Saccharomyces cerevisiae S288C: one gene and its partners. Changing the gene in region 3 together with the main gene of any one other region gives a genetic interaction. Each region holds a gene or a part of one and is shown on either strand. Other genes may lie near its edges. The genes, in order: CIT3, AIM39, RHO4 and AMD1.

Region 1 (5,447 bases), on a different chromosome or scaffold from region 3:
TTTACGGTGACTCCGAAAAGATCTACGGCTATAAGGATCTCATCATCCACCTAGCATTTGATTCAGTAACATTCAAGCCGTATGTTAACGTCAAGTATTCAGCAAAATTAGGAGACGACAATATTGTAGACGTGGAAAAAAAATTACTCTCATTTCTACCAAAGGATGATGTAATTGTTAGGGATGAAGCTAAATGGGTAGATTGCTTTGCAGAAGAACGAAAAACACATAATTTATCTGATGTTTTTGAAAAAGTATCAGAGTATTCGTTGAATGGGGAAGAATTTGTTGTATATAAATCGAGTTTGGTTGACGATTTTGCCAGGAGAATGCATCGTCGTGTTCAAATCTTTTCATTACTTTTTATCGAAGCCGCTAACTATATAGATGAGACTGACCCGAGTTGGCAAATCTATTGGTTGTTGAACAAGAAAACAAAAGAATTGATTGGTTTCGTCACTACTTACAAGTATTGGCACTACCTTGGAGCAAAATCTTTCGATGAGGATATAGATAAAAAATTCAGAGCCAAAATATCTCAATTTCTGATCTTTCCACCTTATCAAAATAAAGGCCACGGATCCTGTCTTTATGAGGCTATAATCCAATCTTGGCTAGAAGACAAAAGTATTACTGAAATTACTGTAGAGGATCCAAACGAAGCATTTGACGATCTTCGCGACAGGAATGATATTCAAAGACTGCGAAAACTTGGTTATGATGCTGTCTTTCAGAAGCACTCCGACCTTTCTGATGAGTTTTTGGAGTCAAGCCGAAAATCTTTAAAACTGGAAGAAAGACAGTTTAATCGTCTTGTGGAAATGCTTCTTCTTTTAAACAATTCTCCATCATTTGAATTAAAGGTAAAGAATAGGTTGTACATTAAAAATTATGATGCCCTAGATCAAACTGATCCAGAAAAGGCAAGAGAAGCTTTACAAAATTCATTTATTTTAGTCAAAGATGATTATAGGCGTATTATAGAGTCGATAAATAAATCTCAAGGTTAACTGTTTATTAAATATATAATAACATATTTATTTGTTTAACAAGCCTGAAATAAGAAATTCTTTTATAAATACATCATCGAGATGATCATCAAAGTGTCTCTATAGTTAATATAAGCTTATGCAAAGGTTGAAGCCGTTATGTTGTCGTAATTCTAAATTACAGGTTATATTAAAGAGATTATCTTGACTGATATAAAATTTCTTATCATGGTAGTGATCACAAATAGATCACATGATATATTTTTTATTTTTAATTTTTTTTAATTATAAAAATAATTTTTTTCTTTAAATTAAACAAAAATAAAAAATTGTTTTTTGTTGGTTAAGATTTCCGAAAATAGAAATATTATTCAGTTGAAAGACAAAAAAACATAAATATTTCTATGAGCAAACAATTTGAACAGAAAAATAAAATTGGGGAAGTGACACACCATGGTAGCGGTTCTAAAGCGAAATCGGCAAAGCGGCTAAATAGCAGTTTTGATGACTTACTCCACACTGAAAATGGATGACCTTAAATAGGAGATAAAGCTTTTTCATCCCTATGTATTTAAGATGACTGGCTTGTCAAGCATTCTAATCATAAAAAAAAGATCGTATTTGATCAAGAATTTATACATAGACGCCGCTAAATAATTGAATACAAAATGGTACAAAGGCTTCTACCGGGCGCACATATATGCAGAAGGTCCTTCAATTCGTCTGCAATTATAAAGTCTTCTGCATTGACTCTCAAGGAAGCATTAGAAAACGTGATACCTAAGAAAAGAGATGCTGTGAAGAAATTGAAGGCCTGTTATGGCAGCACGTTTGTCGGACCGATTACCATTTCATCAGTTCTAGGTGGGATGAGAGGTAATCAGTCAATGTTTTGGCAAGGAACATCATTAGATCCCGAACATGGCATTAAATTTCAAGGTTTAACGATTGAAGAATGTCAAAATAGATTACCTAATACAGGTATTGATGGCGATAATTTCCTGCCAGAATCAATGTTATGGCTGTTGATGACAGGTGGTGTGCCAACTTTCCAGCAAGCTGCTTCTTTCAGGAAAGAATTGGCTATTCGTGGAAGGAAATTGCCACATTATACAGAGAAAGTTTTGTCAAGTTTACCCAAAGATATGCACCCTATGACCCAACTTGCAATTGGTTTAGCATCAATGAACAAAGGATCCCTCTTTGCTACAAACTACCAAAAGGGCCTCATAGGAAAGATGGAATTTTGGAAAGATACTCTTGAAGATTCGCTAAATTTAATTGCTTCACTCCCGCTGCTGACTGGGAGAATTTATTCGAACATTACAAATGAGGGACACCCATTAGGTCAATATAGTGAGGAGGTGGATTGGTGTACAAACATATGTTCCCTGCTCGGCATGACAAATGGAACGAACTCTTCTAATACATGCAACCTTACTTCCCAGCAATCCCTGGACTTCATAAACTTGATGCGGTTATATACCGGTATACATGTAGACCATGAAGGTGGTAATGTTTCTGCTCACACCACCCACTTGGTTGGAAGTGCGTTGAGTGACCCGTATCTCAGCTATTCATCTGGAATAATGGGATTAGCGGGTCCTTTGCATGGGTTAGCAGCACAAGAAGTAGTAAGGTTTCTCATAGAGATGAACTCTAATATTTCCAGCATTGCACGAGAACAAGAAATCAAAGATTATCTTTGGAAAATTTTGAATTCAAACCGTGTGATCCCCGGTTATGGGCACGCAGTTTTGCGTAAACCGGATCCTCGATTTACAGCAATGCTTGAATTTGCGCAAAAGAGGCCTATTGAATTTGAGAACGACAAGAACGTTTTGTTGATGCAAAAATTGGCAGAAATAGCGCCTAAGGTTTTGTTGGAACACGGAAAGAGTAAGAATCCATTTCCCAATGTTGACTCTGCATCGGGGATTTTGTTTTATCATTATGGAATCAGGGAATTATTATTCTTTACCGTCATTTTTGGGTGTTCAAGGGCCATGGGACCCTTGACACAACTTGTTTGGGATCGCATTCTAGGTTTACCAATTGAAAGGCCCAAGAGTTTGAACTTGGAGGGTCTGGAAGCACTTACCAAAGCAAGCAATGTTAACAAGTTGTAACGCAGTTCCAATTTACAAGAATGCTTCGTTTGCTATTACAATATTGAAATATAAATAAAATTCCATACAGCATGTCTAATCATAGCTAATTTATACATATTCATCATGAAAACATATAGGGGAAAATATGGTCGGTTAACACACCTATCAAAAAATTATTCAGCAATTCCAATCTCGTTAGTAAAATATATTCTTATTTTTTTTTTTTTTCTCTGATTGTATTATTTCTGGAGTTTTGACTTATTTTTTTACCACATCGCGCTTTTCGTCCCCAATCTCTCTGATATATGATGCTGTCTATAGGTAGCCACTTCCCCGATGTCGGACCTCGGGCCGTTTACAAACTTTATTGAGATGACCTTATTTCTCCACATTCTAGTCATTCAACTTTTACCCTCATATGTTTACCTTCACTAATGTGAAAGCATGACCAAAGAAAGTGTATAAGGTATATAAATCTGCCATAATGTATGTATAACTTATTAGGACTTTCTCAAATAGTATTTTGGTATTTTCTACTGTTCTCTGATGATCGAGAGCAAACAGAATGTTTTTAGCCAAAAATCTAAAAAATAATAAAATCAAGGTATGCTTGCCTAAAAAGAAATTTGCTGCGCTGAGTACAGCGTCTATACAAACTAATGAAAGACCAAATCCAGATAAGGTTTTGAAGGACATCGCGAAATATGTCCATGAAACCCCATTAAAATCATCTTTGGCTCTAGATACAGCACGACTCTGTTTCCTTGATACTCTAGGCTGTGGCTTGGCGGCTTTGAAATTTAAGCAGGCTCAAAATATTATTAAACCAATTGTGCCAGGAACAATAGTTCCCAGTGGAACAAAAATATTGGGCACATCTTACGTTATGGATCCAGTGAAGGGAGCTTTTGCCATTGGTACTCTAATACGTTGGTTAGATTACAATGACTGCTGGTTAGCTGCCGAGTGGGGGCACCCATCAGATAACCTTGGGGGAATTTTAGCTGTCGCGGATCACTTGTCCAGATTAAACAAGGCTACCCACGGAAAGAATGGAAAACAGTTTCTTGTTAAAGACGTATTAGAGGCAATGATTAAAGCGCATGAAATCCAAGGTATTATAGCGCTCGAAAATTCTTTCAATAAAGTAGGTTTAGATCATGTGGTACTCGTGAAAGTAGCAACGGCTGGTGTTGTCTCGAAGATGCTGGGCCTGAGCCAGGAACAAACTATTGAAGCATTGTCACAAGCATTTGTAGACGGTCAATCACTGCGTACTTACCGTCATGCCCCAAATACTGGATCTAGAAAGTCGTGGGCGGCGGGAGATGCAGTTTCGAGGGCTGTAAACTTGGCTTATTTAGTCAAAAATGCTAATGTTGGCACGATACCTTCAGTATTAACAGCTAGAACCTGGGGATTTTATGACGTTTTATTTAAGGGTAAACCTTTTTCATTCCAACAAAGATCAAAATATGATTCCTACGTCATGGAAAACGTTCTGTTCAAGATATCATTTCCTGCCGAATTCCATGCGCAAACTGCTGTAGAAGCTGCTGTAAAAGCATATAGGATTCTTGCCAAACAAGGGAAAACTTTTAAAGATATTAAATCGATCAGAATTAGAACTCAAGAGGCGGCAATGAGGATTATAGATAAATCCGGTCCTCTGTATAATTATGCCGATAGGGATCATTGTATCCAGTACATGATCGCGGTTCCGCTGATTACTGGTAATCTCACAGCTACTGATTATTCGGATGAGGTCGCAAGAAATCCTGAGATCGATAACTTGAGATCGAAAATGTACTGTATCGAAGATACTCATCTCACTCAAAACTATCACGATCCTGATAAAAGGTCGATAGGAAACGCTCTTCTCATAGAGCTGAACGATGGGACGCAGTTGGATGAAATTTTTGTAGAGTACCCTGTTGGTCACAAATTTAGACGAGAGGAAGGAATACCATTACTAATGAATAAATTTCAAAGGCATCTGCGCGAACATTTTGTAGAGAGCCCTGATAAAGTCGACCTTATAATGAAGGTAAGTTCAAAAACAAACTTTTTGAATATGCAAATCGACAAATACATGGATTTGTTTACTGAGGGATGAATGGTTGGCTCTTTAAGAGCGAACGGCATGGTACCTACTTCAATTTTTAAAGACAAAAGGCGCCGTTTCGATAAACAAGAAATCACTTTCAAAACATAATTAAACCAAAGAACATGCGGTTTTCTAATTATGCTGGCTTAATTTTACTGGTATTTATCTACATAATAATAACTATTAAAAAATTAAATAATTGGCTCTATTTATTTTTCTTTCTTCAACTTGCAAGAGTTC
Region 2 (5,208 bases), on a different chromosome or scaffold from region 3:
TATTCAATAATAGTGAATAACGGCGTGTAAATGAATAAGAAATGGTAATAATAATACTGATGCCTTTTTATGGATTCCTATATCCTTGTGGAAAACCTCTTGAATACTGGGTGAATAATTTGATAATTGTTGTCATTCCATTGTTGGTGAAGGCTATAATATTATGTATACAGATTATAATAGAAATTTTCCTCGAGGATATAGGAATCCTCAAAAAGGAATCTATATTTCTACATACTAATATTACGAATATTCCCAATTCCGTTTTATACATTTCATTATCCTATTACATTATTAGTCCTTGCATTTCGCTTCAATCAATCTAACTGTTTCCCAATCTTTATGTTATCTTCTTACACTGCATGTGATAATATACTAGTAACACGAATACTACTAAAAAGATGATATTTTAAAGTTTCATTCCAACACCTCTAACATGTTCTATATACCTAATATTAAACCTTTATTAATAATGGAATCTCAACAATTGTCTCAAAATTCTCCCATTTCTCACAATCTTGTGCATTGAGAACTGTGCATCATTAAGTTTCTAAAATTTAGATCTTTCATAAAATATTAGACTCCATGGCCAAGTTGGTTAAGGCGTGCGACTGTTAATCGCAAGATCGTGAGTTCAACCCTCACTGGGGTCGTTATTTTTGAATACCCAATACTTTTTTTTCGGGCCATTTCACACAATGGCGTTTTTTATCCTATGTCCACTACAATTTAGATGAGCTCTCTTCTAGCATACAACTGCGATGAGGAATTTGATAATATTCTATTTTAAGCATTAAGTTTTCAGAAAACGAACGATCGCGTTTTTTCTCAGACAGAAAGTTTTAATATATTGATAAGAATAATGGGCGACGAATTACACAACCGTTTACTTCACCAAAACGATGGCACCAAGGACGCCATACTTTATAAGATAATAGAATCGTTAGTTTGCTCCATCTGCCACGATTATATGTTTGTACCGATGATGACACCTTGTGGTCATAATTATTGCTATGGTTGTCTGAACACCTGGTTTGCCAGCAATACTCAAAAAGAATTGGCTTGTCCGCAGTGCAGATCTGATATTACCACCATTCCCGCATTGAATACAACGTTGCAACAGTATCTATCATTCATTTTAGAGAAATTAAGGGACCAGAATGATGAATCTTTTAAAAAACTTTTAACAACTAAAACCAAGGAGGAAAATGATTACAAGAATGACAAGGAAAAGGACACATTGTTTGACAAAGTATTTAAGAATAGCGCATTGGCAGTGGCCGACGACTCGGATGATGGTATCACACGTTGTAGTAATTGTCATTGGGAATTAGACCCAGACGAAGTAGAGGACGGAAATGTTTGTCCCCACTGCAATGCCAGAATACGGAATTACGCAGGTGGTCGCGACGAATTTGATGAAGAAGAATACAGTGAAGGAGAGTTGGATGAAATCCGGGAAAGCATGCGTAGGCGTAGAGAGAATCGATTTGCGTCTACCAATCCGTTTGCTAATAGAGATGATGTAAGTTCTGAAGACGATGATAGCAGTGAAGAGGAGCCCATGCGAGAACATATCCCACTAGGCCGTTGGGCCAGGTCACATAATCGTAGTATTGCTGTGGATGCTGTGGATGATGAAGACGACGAAGAAGAGGATGAGGAAGAAGAAGAGGAGATGGATTCCGATTTGAAAGATTTTATAGAGGATGATGAAGATGACGAAGATGAAGATGGAAGTAGGAGGAATTTGGTATTGTCTGCACTCAAGAACAGACATGTAATTATTACTGATGATGAGGAAGAGGAGCAACGGCGACATGCTACAGAAGAGGAAGATCGCGATAGTGACTTTTACGAGCATAATGATGATGGTTTTGTAAGTGGTGATAGCCTTGATGAGGATCAGAAGGAGGTTACACGGATACAATCGAGTTCTGATTCCGAAGATCGTTCACTTTCGTATTCCGGCTCCAGCGATGTCAAGGATAACAATGACGATAACACGGAAGAATTAGATGACCCACAACCGAAAAGGCAGAAACGCTTCCGTGTAGTTCTAGGAGACAGTGACGATGAATAATCTGAACATTTTAACTAGCGGGAACGGCATATGTACGGAACTTTTATGTATGTTTTTAAAAAATTTCCTTTCTATCCTTATTACATTAAGATTTTTAAGCGATAGTAGGATCGGAAATATAAGCACTCGTTTATGATATAAATAGGTCAAGAATTTCGTAAAGTAAAATCAATACATATGTGAATCTTTTTTTTTTTTTTTTTGGGACTGCTATTGGTATTTTTTTAGCGTCACGTTAATCAGCCCAATTATGTGGGGGTTATGCAAGAAGCATTTTCCGAGCAATAAAATTCAAGTGCAGGAGAGAAACAAAGCATTAAAACCAAAGAAGAGTGGCAGCGAACATAAGACAAAGCAACTGTTTCCTGTATTCAATTGCAAGAAGAAGGAAAAAGGGGTAATGATACGGTTTGCGATTCTACGTAATGCTAACACATCTCTACTGTCCGCGAGAAGTATATGCTTATTTACCCAGGCGCCTACCTATTGTCATGTAAGGTTGAATACCTTGAATAAAAGCATTACAACTAAAAGAAATTCATTGACAGAGTCGAAAAGGCATGTCCATGATGGCAAGCATTTTTTTACGACGCCACATCAACAGCAACAGACGAAGTTGGGGGAAATTGAAGAGGGACACAGTCCTAACATAAAAGGAGAGGACTTGAGAAGCATTGGTCAAGCAATAACACATCAGCGAAACAAGCGCCGAAAGCAAATATGGTCCGCCATATTTGGTGGTATATTCGGTGTGATATTAGGATACTCACTAATCTATAGAGTGATATATTTAAAGGAACAAAGTTTCTTACCATTGTTTCCATCATCCAAGATACGTAAACTGAGTACCAGAGATTTGAAAAAGGTTGACGTAAACCAAGTACAGAAGCTTTCTAAATTAAGGGTTTTAGAGATATTATCCGGTCATGACATGATCAAGGAACAATACGGAGTACCATTGCTTGATAAAGATGGCAATTCACCCACGTTAAATGAATTCAGCATGTGGTGCGAAGATCAAGATCCATGTGTAACTGGTATTGTAATGGAGCCAGACGATAAAAGGGATAGTTCGCACACTTGGTATAGAATACCCTTTGTTTGCAAATGGAGGATAACGCATCGGCCAATAAGTATACGGGGAACCATCGACGATTTACTGAACCGCATTGGTTTGGAAACAGCCGATTTATTTGAGATTATATCGCCGGAGAGGGTATACGGGTCGTTCAAGTACGAATACCCACTGCAGGGGGACTCACATGCATTACACCTTTGGTTTCATGGCGAAATCGAACTGGACGATGATTCTTTGATTGTATATAATGGAAAATACCACGTTGATGTTAAATTGCAAGAAATCGACCTCTTCAGACGTGAAAAGAACGGACAACTAATACAGTACGTTCTATACAAAAACGAAGCGGGCGACAAGTAAGAAAAATGTAAATATTTTTATCACAATTATGATTATTATCGTTATTAAACTACTTATTTTCGGTTACGTAGATGAAATAGTGTTATATAAGAATATTTGAGAAAGTAAAACTGATAAATAAATATAATGGAATGAAAAAATAGAGACGAACTGGAAGAAGAGAAAAAAAATTAAAGCACCAAATTTACTACTCTGGGGCCTATAGATGGAATATCAAAGGGGAAGATGAGAAAAGAAATTATACATTTCAGAAACGTCAATAGGGTATCATCATCGTGGCAGTAAGCGGCGTTTTTCCTAAATCAAAAAGGCCAAAGCACCACCAACAGCAGCACCGACGACTCCGGCGTTTAGTAGTTGACCATTTTGAGCGTGCAAAGCAGGAGCAGCGTTACTCGTGGTGTTGGATGCGTTTTGAGCATTTACGCTAGTAGCGAGGCCGAAGACAGAGATGGCAGAAATGAAAACTTGTGATACTTTCATGTTTAAATCGATATTAAATTAGCGTGCTTGCTTGGAGGGCTTTTCAGAATGAAAAAAAAAAGAATGAAGAAAGAATTAACCAAAGAATGGAGGTTATGTGTAAGAAATGGCATTTATATATACATTTATATAAAAATGTATAAACATACTTGCATTATTGATGTCCCATAAGGGGTGAGAAAAGACAAAAATGGAAACAGGGGAAAAGAAGAAGAGTAAAAAAAGGATTATTTTAGGAGAGAAAGGGGATTAGAAGAACATCGGGCATAAACCTTTGAGCATCATCCTTTATTGATGTTTGACACCTTGCGATTGATGAAAAATATTGATGATATTAAGGTATTTCTGATAGCCACTGCCCCGTCCCTTGAAGCGGCCTTCCGTCGAGGCCTTGGCAACCGTGTCTGGGTGTGTGATATATTACATCAGAGGAAATAAAAGCTTGAGCGGCTAAACTCCCTTAGCTCAGGGGTGGTCTGGCCAGGAATTTTCAGTGGCCATTTTTCCTGTTCCGGGTCCGGCCAATCTGTGCCGGTTTTCTCTAGAGGAAAAAAAAAAGCATGCGGGGTAATGATGTAGAAGATATACAAGCGGGTTAAACTACATTAGTTATGAGTGCTAGAAAGCAAGCGAAGGATAATAGAAGAGGGCTATTCTATGTAAGTATGAGGAGACACAAATGGCGGCTTTTCATATTTTCTTCTGCAATTTCATATAGAAAAGGTGGTAGTCGTCCAGATCATAAACAATTTTGTCTAACTTGATGTAGTCGGGCAGTGACTCGTTGATGCTTAGTAGTTTTTGGAAGGATTGGTTCTGATAATTTTTGGTAAAAAAGGTCATCGAGAACTCTCTTGGTTGAAAAACGTTCAGAATATGTAGAAGAACGTCCAAGTTGTCTTGCTTCCCTTGGGAAATGTCAAATACGGGTATGTTACTTTCGAAAGAGGCGTAAGACCAACCCTTTTCCGGAGTCACGTGCAGGGTGTAATAGTATTTTTCAGCGAGAATCATATTGGATGAGTATCCACATGGCGTGAACGCAAATGCATCGTGGTGAAATGATAAATCGGAGTCTTGGGCCGAGTTGACATATATTTCGTCAAGCCTTGTATTTTTAGTCATTTGGTAGCCGAGGTTGTGGCCCTTATCTTCGTTTGGCTCCACGAGAGCGGTTGTGGATGCCTCAGGCCCGCAAACAAAC
Region 3 (5,126 bases):
GAATCTGAGATACATTTTCAATTTTCAAAATGTACGGATTTAAAAGTACAGGAAGACATTTACTCTAGAAAGATATACATAGTGATAGATATTTTATATGTGCAATTAGATTCTCTTCATTATACACACACTCTCAACGTGGTGCGTTTGTGGAAAGAAATCAAATCCTCTTATGCTTTCAATCTGGTGGGCGGAACCGTTTTCTGTTTCTTTGAGGAAGTACTCGACATCACGTGCCTGGGAATGGACATTACACGATATGTAAATAATCTTGGCTGGATTATATGCGGCTAATTGCTTTAGGAATAATTCGTCACAGCCCTTGCGTGGTGGATCCAAGATAACGGAAGTGTTTTCACTTGGAGTATCAATAGACTCAAAGAGTTTCTCAGCCTTTCCAACGATGAATCTACAGTTTTCAACACCATTTGCCTTTGCATTTTTTTCTGCAAAAGAGACACTGTCAGCGGAAATTTCTACACCAATCACTTTATCTACGCCCTTGGAGCTGCATATACTGAAAAGACCTGATCCACAATAAGCATCTACTAGAAACTTTGTTTTATTATCATCACCTTTAGCGGGAGCTTGCAAGTTATCACGGACATACTTGGTCACTATTGGCAGGATAGAGTTATTATTTTGAAAAAACTCACCCGCACTAAAATTAAAAGTATATCCATCAACATATTCAGTGACAATTTGTCTAGGATTGGTAACGCAAGTTTTAGCCAGCCTGACATTGTTCTTTTTGTCTTCGACTTCGACATAACTTATATCACCATTTTCATCCCTAGAGGCTTCTTCGGTTAACTGTTCTAAAGTTGGTTTGGAAGGGTCTAAAATAGTGGTATTCTCTCTCAGTAAAATAGTCGCGCCTTTTTTGTAGTTTTTAAACTCTTGCTCAAACTTTCTTCTTTCATTAGTCAATCCTTTGTTGAGAACTTCAGTTGCAAGCACACATTCATCGATATCTAATATCGAACCATGTCCGCCGATATCCAAAGTATCTTTTCTCCATTGAGGTCTACCCTTTTGACCAAATCCTAAAGGAGGCCTTACTGATAGTTCCTTTTGTTTTCTTTTTGGCATATCGAAATGAGGCGTAATTTTGGTCCTGTAGCCAAATTGTAAAGGGGAAGCTACGGTGGTGTCAAATGGGGGTAAAAGTTTTTCAGCAACTAACCTTGGTGCGAAGAACTTGTAGGCATTCATAATTGTTTTTCTTTTCAATTCTAGTTGGTCATCGTAAGTTAAGAACTCTAATTGACTTCCTGAAGATTTCCCGAAATATTTATCCCTAATTAAATCATCTCTTCTCATTGGAGATTTTTCCACTACGTCTAATAAATCACTCTCGACATAGTAAGGGTGGGTCTTAAAGACTTTGATATTAACTACATCACCGGGCAGGCCAAACGGTATGATAACAACTTGCTTCTTTTCTGTTTCAACAGGATTATCGATCAAAGCCAACCCGTTGCCATTGGAAGTAATTTCTAAGACCTTGACATTTTTTACCTCTCGGTGATATTGTAAGACGATAGGTCCATCTGTTGAGGACTTATCATTTAGAATTGAAGTAACATCGTTCAGAACCTGCTCCCTGGACAAATTTTGAGATTTTAACAAATCGTTCACTTCAAATTCTAGGACACCCATCGGAGAAGTTGTTTCAACCTTTTTGGCCTTGTACTTTCTCAACTTTGGCTTCTTAGTCCGGCGGTTACCAGAATCTGTCAAAGGAGACGAAAGCCTTTTGTTGTCAACGGTATGTTTCATTGTTGGTGGTACCATTTCAGTACTTCCAGTCATGGTGCTGATTAGTTTATAATTATGCTTCTTGACAAAGTTTCTGCAAGCGAAAAACCTAGCTTTAAATATAGACTTCTGTACGGTCCAAAAGCAACGCATGCATGTGATAATACTCCAGCGTTTTATCGATGAGATGAGATGAGCTTTATATTTAACCTTATTGTCTGAATTTTCGAAGAAAAAAAAAGAAAATTCAAACTGTTCGTACATAATGACTTTGTCCTAAACTATTCCTCTAAAATAAAATGACAGATTTGTACTTTTATGTCACAGAAGCTTTTATTAAGTATTTAATGTAATTAGGCTAGATTAATATCGAATTAGTACTTTATGACATCGAATTAAAATGAATTATTATGATAAAATTGGGATAAATTCGAATATATTGGAGCGGTATATCACACCAGATTCAGAAAAATGGAAGTTAAATTAAATCAGGTTCTAATTGTTTCGTCTTGATAAATAAGATAGCGGAAGATAGTAAAATGTGTGTATTTTTTCTTGCCACTTTTCAAATGTTGTAAGTGCGTACAGAATGGGCAACAGAATAATCTTCATCATTATTCTTACATTATAATACACTTGTTTTTTCTTAATCTTTTCGTTCCGGAAATAGAGACGCTGGTATCTCCAGTAGAAGAATCGATATCTGATCTGGTGGTATTTCTTTTAAAGGGATTTTTGATTGTATGTGTAGGCTCTCTGGGAGCATATAATGAATCGGAAAGTAACGTGTGTATGGCAGTTTCAAATACTTCATCGATATTTTCTTTCAATCGTGCTGAGCATTGAATATGTGCAAATGCCCCCAGACGCTTGGCCAAGGATTCTGCTGAACTTGGTTCCACCAGATCTGAAAGGTTATCAGCTTCATATAGATCTGATTTAAGGCCGACTAGCATGATTGGAGTGGAAGGACAAAAATGCTTAACCTCTGGGAACCAGAGATCTTCCACATTTTTAAGCGATGTCTTACTACCAACAGAATAGCACACCATCAGCACATCTGCATTCGTATATGAAAGCGGTCTAAGTCTACTATACTCTTCTTGGCCGGCAGTGTCCCATAATGCCAATTCTATAATTTGACCGTTGGGTCCTTCTATGTTTGTGACATAATTTTCGAAAATAGTAGGAATATAATCAGTCGGAAATGTTCCTTGGACATAAGATATCAGCAGGCACGTCTTCCCTACAGCGCCATCTCCCACAACAACAATCTTTAGGTGATAATCTGGCAGTTTGTTTGTACGTTTCATCTGCTCATAACTAGGAATGGTAGAAAGGCTTCTAGCGAATGGAGTAGGCAATCTGGGAAGATTCTTTTCATCTAAAGTGCCAGGTGATTCAGGAAGATTGCTACTTGAGGGCGATCCCTGCGAAACTATGTTACTTTCGTTCCCACAATTGCCACCTTTTCGCTTAAATAATAGTGTATTCATGAAAAAGCGTTACTATTGGAGATTTTTGGACCTATTTGACTTAAGTTTGCTGTAACTTTTGAGGGATGCTTATCATGTCTTTTGTCGTCTTAACGTAAGGCTATAACTACTTAATCAGATCATCCCGAATTGATGCGCGGAAGGTCGCATTGTACGGATTCTAATAAATAAGCTAATGAAAGGTAAACAAACATTACATATAAAAATTAACAGAAAGCATAGAACATAGAAGGGCAATAATACTCGTTCAGAGCTTAAATTGGAAAGTACGTCAAAACGTTTTTTAGGCAATGTGCAAGAATGAGGCAAGACTTGCTAATGAGCTGATAGAATTTGTTGCAGCTACTGTAACGGGTATAAAGAATTCTCCCAAAGAGAATGAGCAAGCATTCATTGATTATCTACATTGTCAATACCTTGAACGGTTTCAATTTTTTTTGGGATTATTGGATGGGAGAGAGTTCGACACGTTGTTTGTCTTCCTTTTTGAAGAGCTGGATAGAACAATAGTTACAATAGACATTGGTGAAGAGGCTATATATGATGCCAACTTGGCGAATAAAAAGTATTCTACTCTATTAATTATTAAATCTAGAAGTGTTATTGTGGATGCAGAACCGATTGCAACACAAATAAGTGCCATATACTTACCTGGTCCAGTAAATGCGGGGAACCTGGCCTCAATTATCACACATGGCGTATCGTCTGTGTTTGGCCAATTGATAAAATCAGATACAAAGACATATTCTGTCGAAACTATAGATAAAACGAGGAGGAAACTTGACGACATTTCTAAACAATTTCAACAGTTACATACCTCAATTGAAACGCCAGATCTTTTAGCGATGGTCCCTAGCATTATCAAATTGGCTGTATCAAAAGGGGCTACTTCACATGATTATGCAAACTACCTTCCTAGTAATGATTTGGAAAGTATGAGATTTTTGAACATTTTACAAAGCATTGCAAACAAATGGTTTTTGGTTCTTAAACAAACATTAGCCATTGACAGAGATATAAAAAATGGTTCTTTTTTAGACGAAGTTGAGTTTTGGTCGAATTTCTACGAAGTACTGAAGTCGTTAATTGAACAAACACAAAGCCAAGAATTTCAGGTGTGTCTATCCGTTCTAACAAACGCAAAGAGATTTCATAATTTAACAAATTTATTGAATGAAGGTTCACTTTCAGATAAATTTAAGCTAGCGGATAAATATAACCAATTTCTATCGTCAATCCCTATCGATGAGGTTCGCCAGGCAAGCAATCTTGAGGACTTGCAGGAACTATTTCCTGTTTTAGCATCTTCTTTGAAGAAGTTCAGATATTCAGGTTATCCAGTTCAAAGATTTGTTGTGCTGATGGACAAAATTTCACAAGAAGTCATGGATGCAATTCTAAGTAATCTTTCAGATTTATTTCAGCTAGAGTATGGTTCTTTTTTGGGTTTATATGAAAAATCAGCAGGCATGATAGAAGAATGGGATGATATTGTCCAGGATGTCAATCTTTTAATAAGAGAGGATCTTAGGAAAAGAGCACCACAGGAGCTACTTATACAAAAGCTAACATTTACAAGTGCATCCGTAAAGGCTACTTTGGATGAAATTTTAAGCACACGCAAGCGATTTTTTTCATTGGCAGAAACCATTAAGAGTATATCCCCTTCTACTTATCACGAAGAAATACAGAGATTGTATCATCCATTTGAGCAGATCCATGATATTTCCGTGAATTTTCGATTGAAATTGGAGCAAGCCGAAAGTGAATTCAGTAAAAACATGCTCGATTTGGAAAAGAAGTTACAAAATACGTTGGCAAGTTTTATGGACTCTGATCACTGTCCAACCGAAAAATTAAGTTATCTAG
Region 4 (6,699 bases), on a different chromosome or scaffold from region 3:
TTTCTTTGGGCAATTCCTTAACAACGAATTTCTGTAGCGGGTCCACTTTGAAATCGGAATTAGCCCACGTAGAAGGTTTCTTGCCATCAGCTGTATGTGCCTCATTTCTCTCAAATCTTTCTTCCACCATCCAACTTTTGCTATTGGGCTTTATACACTTATCAATCTCAGCAGAAGCTCTATCAAATAACTGACTGGTAGTAGTAATTTTGGGCTTGTTGCTTCCTCTGCTCGGAGAGCCCTGCTTGAAGGTTGTATTTATAGTTTCTTGATGAGAAGTAGGTGCTACATTATGACTCCAGGAAAATAGAACTGGCCCATCCAGCTGTAAAGCGCCAGAATTCATAGTTATGGTTTTTTCCTCATCAATCCAATCTCTTTGTATTTGCCGACATTTCCCATCAAGTTTGTCGGTACTCAATTTATTCCCCATTTGCATAGGTGAATGAAACAAACAGTTCATCAACCGCCTACCGTTCGCTACTTCATCTAATAACCCATATAACGACACATCTCCATTTTTGGCTTGCTCGGAGTCATCTTGCGGTGTGTATTCCTTACTGAACAACTGGTCGATTATTTTGTTTTCGTCCATAATTTGTCCTTCCCAAAAAATAACCAGCTTAGATTCTGACAATGCTTGTTTCTTTAATTGATGATCTGTAATATTCGTTGATCATTAATACCATTGATTTCAATATTTCATGTTTAATCTTTTGCGCGAAAATTTCAATTGCAAACCAAAATATACATCAACAATCTTTTATCGGTCAACAAATTTGTCGATATAACCAAATATACGTCGTCGCTGCCCATTATACAATCATCATGGTAGTATCCATCATACCGCAATTTCCTGATATCAAGGTTTCACTAGCATTGTTTGAACAGGTTAAAAATGCTAAAGAAATACGCTCTAAAATGAGTGAATTGTCGACATCCTTTGCCTTTATTGACCCCCGGTTAGTCTGTTCGGGGGAGCAGATGTATTCTGCAATTTACAAGACCTTAATAGAAGTGAAATATAACAAGATGAGAACAAGAAATTTGAATTCCGAGTGCGTACTATGTCTTTCACCCACTTCCAATATTAGTGATGCTTTCCTCAAATTCGGAATCAAAGACGATTCGTCACAGTTAATATGCCTTAAGTTCCATACTAATACTGACGATGTAGACAAAGAGCAATTGAGGACGATTATGACTTCTATAGTAAAAGGACAAGAGATCGAGTTTAATGATGACAATTTATCGAGATTTTATGACGAAGCGCTCATAAGAAAAGTATGTTTTAATAATAAATTCGAGGTAAAAACTTCAACAGCCTCACCAGAAACACATTGTACTAACTTCACCTTTGTTTTCCTTTTATTTTGTTTTTACCTATTAGATCTATAAATTAAGTGATGATTTCAAGCCCCAAGACGTAAATGGTCTCTCAAGAGCTTTGGTAGACGCTATTCAATTGAGGGGTGTGTAGATAAGAGATATCTAACGATAAAATTATAAAAAAAATTCTTTGATTATTTTTCAGATTAGTATTATTTGTTCTCCGTGAAGTCAGTGTATCGAACTGCCAAAAGTTCTCCTTATATACATGTGCGCGTATAACCATCACTTTTCTTCAATGGTTCTCTTGAAATTGGCAAAATGATTAACTAATTCCAGTTCAGTTGATAATGTATCGTATCTGTAGTTAATTCTAATATCAGGAACATTTGTTCTAACCACATCGTTACCTTCAACACCACTCTTGTCAAAATCTTTCCCTATCCAATGTTTTTTGATTTGTGCTTCCCACCCACTTTGCAACACGGAATTTCTTGCCAATTCACACATATCTACATTAGACAATTTATAAATTTGTGCTGCAACTGAGTATTCTTCGATTAATGGTTCTCTGGTATATGAGAATTGTAAAGGATCATCTGTGGATAGTGAGACATTCAAACCTCTTTTAAAGTATCTCGGAAATGGGTTTTTATCATAGGTCAAAAATAATGCGTTATTAGAAAGGGGTGACATTGCGATACCAACCTGATCTAAATAGTATAAGTATTGAACAAATGGAACTTTCCTCAATAAAATACCATGTGATATACCATGTGCCAATAGATATGCTGAAACGAGATGCTCGGGGTCACCGGCTTCACCACAATGTGGTCTCAAAACCAAAGTGTTAAACCCTCTCTTAGCCCTCCATTGATTCAAAGACGCGACATTTGAATACAAATAGTACAGGTAATAGGAATAAGGAGGGTTTTGAGGAGCCTCCCAGAGTGATGGCTTGGGATATTTCCTATGAAAGCGGCGATCAACCTTGGATTCATCATCGACAGAATCAAACCCAATTACTCTCTGTAAAAATACATGCAATTTTGGATGAGACTGAGGATTTTTGGTCACTTCAAATAGTGGCTGAAACAGATTCTTACAGATGTCCTGGAAGCTTTGAACAATGCCAGTTTTCTTGTAAATATCATATAACCTCGGAATTTGGACTAACCAACGAACATTATGGGAAATAACTTTGTTGTCAATCACCCAGCTAGCTAGTTTATCCCATTCATCGAGAGACCTGCCATAAACAGAAATTCTATACTCACAGTTTTGGTATTTTGAATTCTCTAAATCGAATATGACTTGTTTGGTAATGTCAGCCAAGTAGGTACCCTTGATGTAGTTGTTTGTCTTCAAAAAAATTTCTCTGAGACGAGATTCACCGATAGGGTTATATTTTAAGTTGAATTTATCGAATCTGTGGAATGTATCCTTATGTGCATGCATATCTAAAGTATCGATGGATAAATCATATCCAGTCAAATGCAAAGAACGGAATACTTCGTCTAAAGTTAGTAGTTTCCCGTCCCTGAAAATAACCTTTTCATCTTTGGAATGTCTCAATTTGTGTTTAATGAAACGTAATAAGTGCTTTTGGTTCATACAAGCAGAATGGTGAACGTGAGTGTCCACTTTCCTAACATTATAAAAATCCCTGTGTGGGTTTCTTTTGGAAACGCTAGTTTCTTGATATTCGTTCAAGAGATAGTAAAGATTCCAGCGTGCTTCTAGGTATTGCAGCCTTCTATAAGCAAATGATTTAGCGGGACCGTCTGATGAGATGGAAATCATTTTTTCTAGATCCAGATAGTAGTCACGAAGGGTAGGGATTTGAGCAATTAACTCATCCGTCTTACCTGATCTGTGTACCACGTACGAGTCGTCATCGTTGAGGGTAAATTCCCAATCTGGATCCTCACCAGGAATTTCACATTTCGTAAAATCGAAAACTTCCGCATCCGGCTTGTTTGTTACTGGCACAACAGTCTTAGTGTCTGAGTTGTATGAAGGTTTAGGTGGTGGTGGATAGACTACCCAGCCTGGCTTATTTTTTGGGTTTTGATCATCGTTTTGCACAGATATGGTCTGATATTTGGCTCTCAAATTTCTACACTCTGCCACTTTGGAATACAAGTCAATCAACTCGGAAGAGGGATCATCAAGAAACTGCTGTGAAGCATCATCAGCCAACATTCCCATTTTATAGGAGGCAGAGGTACGTACCTGCTTATTCACTACCGGAGCGCCGGCAAATGACTTGAGCGTCTCTGGCAAGATATGCTGAGCACTAGCAGACAAGGTCCTCGGTTTACCCCCGGAATTTTGAGATGCATGGTCTGCCGAGTCATGGCCCTTATTCATCGCTGCTATGTTGGAAGAGCTACAATTGGTAGAATGCGATGGTTGCTCCAAGATGGCAGAGTGAGAATCATGCTCATCTAGGGCCAACTGTTTGGTGCCATTTTCCAACAACTGCTGATTCTCGTGATACGAGAAATTAGCATTCCGAGAATCAGCAGCTAAACTTTCGTGTGAATCTTGCTGCTCTAAGGGGGGTGTCTCATCATCCACTACGACACCAGCTTGTTCATCACCAATCTTTCTTTGATCTATGTCAATGACTAGTCCTGAACCATCTTGTTCATCGTGTGAAGGAGCTGGTTCTAGAGAAAGGTCGTTAAGCCTCTGTGTAGCCTGATTGTCCATAATTTTTTTTAGAATGCCCCCTTTTTATTTGTTATATAATTTATTAATCTGGCGTACTAGCAGTTCAATCGAGTTTTGCTGAATCAAAATTGGCTATAGCAGGGAGACTATAATAAAAATACTATTAATATCCGATAATTGACTAGTATACGAGAAACGCTGCTAATTCTGCCTGTAGAGAGAGAGAAGAAAAGTCGTCAAGAGATGCCTTTTTTTTTTTTTTAAAATTTATCTATTTTTTGATAATATCCTTTAAACCTTGTGCTACTAGAACTCCTTTCTCATCATCGCCAGGCGCAAAAAAAAGATGAAAAAGGAATGAAAAAAGAAAAGAGAAGACCCCCACGTGCCCTAAAAATAAAGTTAGGGCATCTATAAAATAACTAGGATATATATATTGATCACCCTGAACGGAAATCAAGGGTTTTAAAGAGCCCTCAAAATTACTGTTTTAGGAAGCCCCCTTTGTTTTTGTTTTGGTTTCAATTTGTGGTGGCTAATCTGGACATCGATCTACTTGTATAGCTGTCAATATACTATGCGGAATACATGGAAGAGAAATAGTCCTCAGTCATTATTAATAGTAGACTGAGACCATACGGAGTGAACGTAGAGGCCAGAACAACAAACAGTAGAACGGTAGCAGTACTCAGTTAGTGCCGCGATGAATAGTGACTTGGAGTATTTAGAGGACGGTTTTGATCCGAATTCAATGAAAGTTGCGACTTTGAGGAGGATATTGGTAGAAAATAATGTCGATTTCCCATCTAATGCTAGGAAAAATGCGCTGGTGGGGCTGTTCGATGAAAAGGTTAAACCGCAGATCCCGCAGTTACGGAAAATGTATCTGAACGTTCGGCCCAGCGATGAAGGTATTGTGAAAATGGACCGTCCCTCATCTTCCCCATCTATAGCTTCCCCTCGTAGAAGTAGACGAGCTCGCAGGGAGAAATCTGCTTCCCCCATGGCCAAACAGTTTAAGAAGAATAGAATACTGGATGATGTAAGTAATGATGATGATGATGATGATGATGATGATGATGACAATGATAAAAAAGACGATCCTTTAATTGTACCTAGTGGAACGGATACCGATGAAGTGGACGATGAAGAGGATGATGTGATAACATCAAGCTCCAACAAATCAGACACCAATGATTTCCAGCAAAATTCCGATACTCGTAAGAAAAGGAAAGACCCTGATTCTGACGACTGGTCTGAATCTAATTCAAAGGAAAATAAAATCGATAATAAGCATTTGAACCTCCTATCATCAGATTCAGAAATTGAACAGGATTACCAGAAGGCAAAAAAGCGTAAGACGAGTGATTTGAACCAAGAGCATGGAAATGGCTCTGCCATTTTAGGAAAACTTTCCGTCAAAACACCAATAAAGAACACAAATAGAAAGCCAGTAAGCATGGATAATTTTAACGATTCGTTGACTTCAAGCGGTACGGAAAATGATCCATTTGTACCGAACATACGACACAATCCAAAAGAGCTCGGAACTGCCAATGGAACAGGCCATAGCACACCCTTGAGTAAGTTAAAAGTTTCTGCCTCATTTGCGGATAAATTGCCTCAAAAGGAGGTACCATCTACAATACTGGTTCCAGAAGTGGAACAGCAAGAACCTTCTCAGAGTGAAAGAACACCGTCTTTGTTTTCGTCCGAAGGCTCTGGCTCAGAGTCGGAAGCACCCTTGCTTCCAGAGATCACCACGCCAGGTCCTCATCAGCCTATGGGTAATACCAGCAATAATGTGGTCGAAATGATAGATACAGATAGTAGTAACTTGGTATCGGATGAAGATGAAGTTTTAGTGCCTACAAGGATCGAGACTCCCCAATTACCCACAGAGAAAGACGTCGAAAAGTGTGAAGCAAGAGTGCAAGAACTTCAAGAGGAAGTAAATGAGCAATTAGAGCATGAAAATGGGAGTGAATTTGATGTTAAGCAAGGATCTGGGAAGGTCGGGAACAGGCATAAGTTCAAAAGAGCACTCAAATTTTTGAGCAAATCATTACTGGCGCTATTTTTATTTTGCATATTCATTGTTATTCCTCTCTTATTTGGCCTCTGGTATAGAGAGCAAAGACTGCTCATAGGTTACTGTGGGCATGAAGTACCATCCCATCGAGTTAGTGGCAATTCCTTCGAGTTTATTCAAAAACTGGATAATTTGTTGCAGGACTACAGACCGAAATGTATCCCTTGTCCACCCAATGGTATTTGTTATCCTTATTTGAAACTTAAATGTAAGCCAGATTACAAGTTAGCACCATCTAGACTTGACTTTTTGGAAATTATTCCTGCACAAGGCAAATGTGTTAAAGACGACAAAAAACAGCAGTTAGTTTCCGAAGTGGTTGAAAAATCTTTAGAGTTTCTGAGAGCCAAAAATGCACAAATTTCATGCGGTGACGGAAAAGACGACATCGAGAGTGGTATGACGGAAGATGCCCTCTATCAAATATTTAATGAGGCTAGAGCTCCTTGGATTCGCGACGATGAATTTGAGGACCTGTGGATCCAAGTTATCAAAGATTTAACTGAAGAACCAGAAATATTATGGAGGCAAGTGAGTACAATTTATTATCTTACAAAAATTATTAAACCTGTTATTATATGATAACAGTTTTAATTTTT

The links.
Region 1: mutations in RHO4 (region 3) and CIT3 together harm fitness more than expected from each alone (negative genetic interaction), as found in Saccharomyces cerevisiae (2 studies listed by BioGRID).
Region 2: mutations in RHO4 (region 3) and AIM39 together harm fitness more than expected from each alone (negative genetic interaction), as found in Saccharomyces cerevisiae (2 studies listed by BioGRID).
Region 4: mutations in RHO4 (region 3) and AMD1 together harm fitness more than expected from each alone (negative genetic interaction), as found in Saccharomyces cerevisiae (2 studies listed by BioGRID).

The regions. Positions count from the first base shown.
Region 1 is NC_001148.4:554,720-560,166, forward strand, and holds CIT3 (citrate (Si)-synthase CIT3), read left to right. Parts: upstream 1-1,657; coding exon 1,658-3,118; downstream 3,119-5,447. Other genes in the region: histone acetyltransferase catalytic subunit HAT1, read left to right, coding at 1-1,010; PDH1 (putative 2-methylcitrate dehydratase), read left to right, coding at 3,666-5,216. UniProt on the Saccharomyces cerevisiae protein: Dual specificity mitochondrial citrate and methylcitrate synthase with similar catalytic efficiency with both acetyl-CoA and propionyl-CoA.
Region 2 is NC_001147.6:227,752-232,959, forward strand, and holds AIM39 (Aim39p), read left to right. Parts: upstream 1-2,333; coding exon 2,334-3,521; downstream 3,522-5,208. Other genes in the region: ubiquitin-protein ligase PSH1, read left to right, coding at 863-2,083; DDR2 (Ddr2p), read right to left, coding at 3,819-4,004; adenosylmethionine decarboxylase SPE2, read right to left, coding at 4,695-5,208.
Region 3 is NC_001143.9:546,347-551,472, reverse strand, and holds RHO4 (Rho family GTPase RHO4), read right to left. Parts: upstream 3,258-5,126; coding exon 2,382-3,257; downstream 1-2,381. Other genes in the region: TRM2 (tRNA (uracil(54)-C(5))-methyltransferase), read right to left, coding at 106-2,025; DYN1 (dynein heavy chain), read left to right, coding at 3,548-5,126. UniProt on the Saccharomyces cerevisiae protein: Plays an important role in cell growth. Required to keep the uninucleated state. May be involved in the organization of the cytoskeleton which affects microtubule functions.
Region 4 is NC_001145.3:204,814-211,512, forward strand, and holds AMD1 (AMP deaminase), read right to left. Parts: upstream 4,048-6,699; coding exon 1,615-4,047; downstream 1-1,614. Other genes in the region: LFT1 (Lft1p), read right to left, coding at 1-595; CGI121 (Cgi121p), read left to right, coding at 829-1,284, 1,391-1,480; SRC1 (Src1p), read left to right, coding at 4,712-6,631. UniProt on the Saccharomyces cerevisiae protein: AMP deaminase plays a critical role in energy metabolism.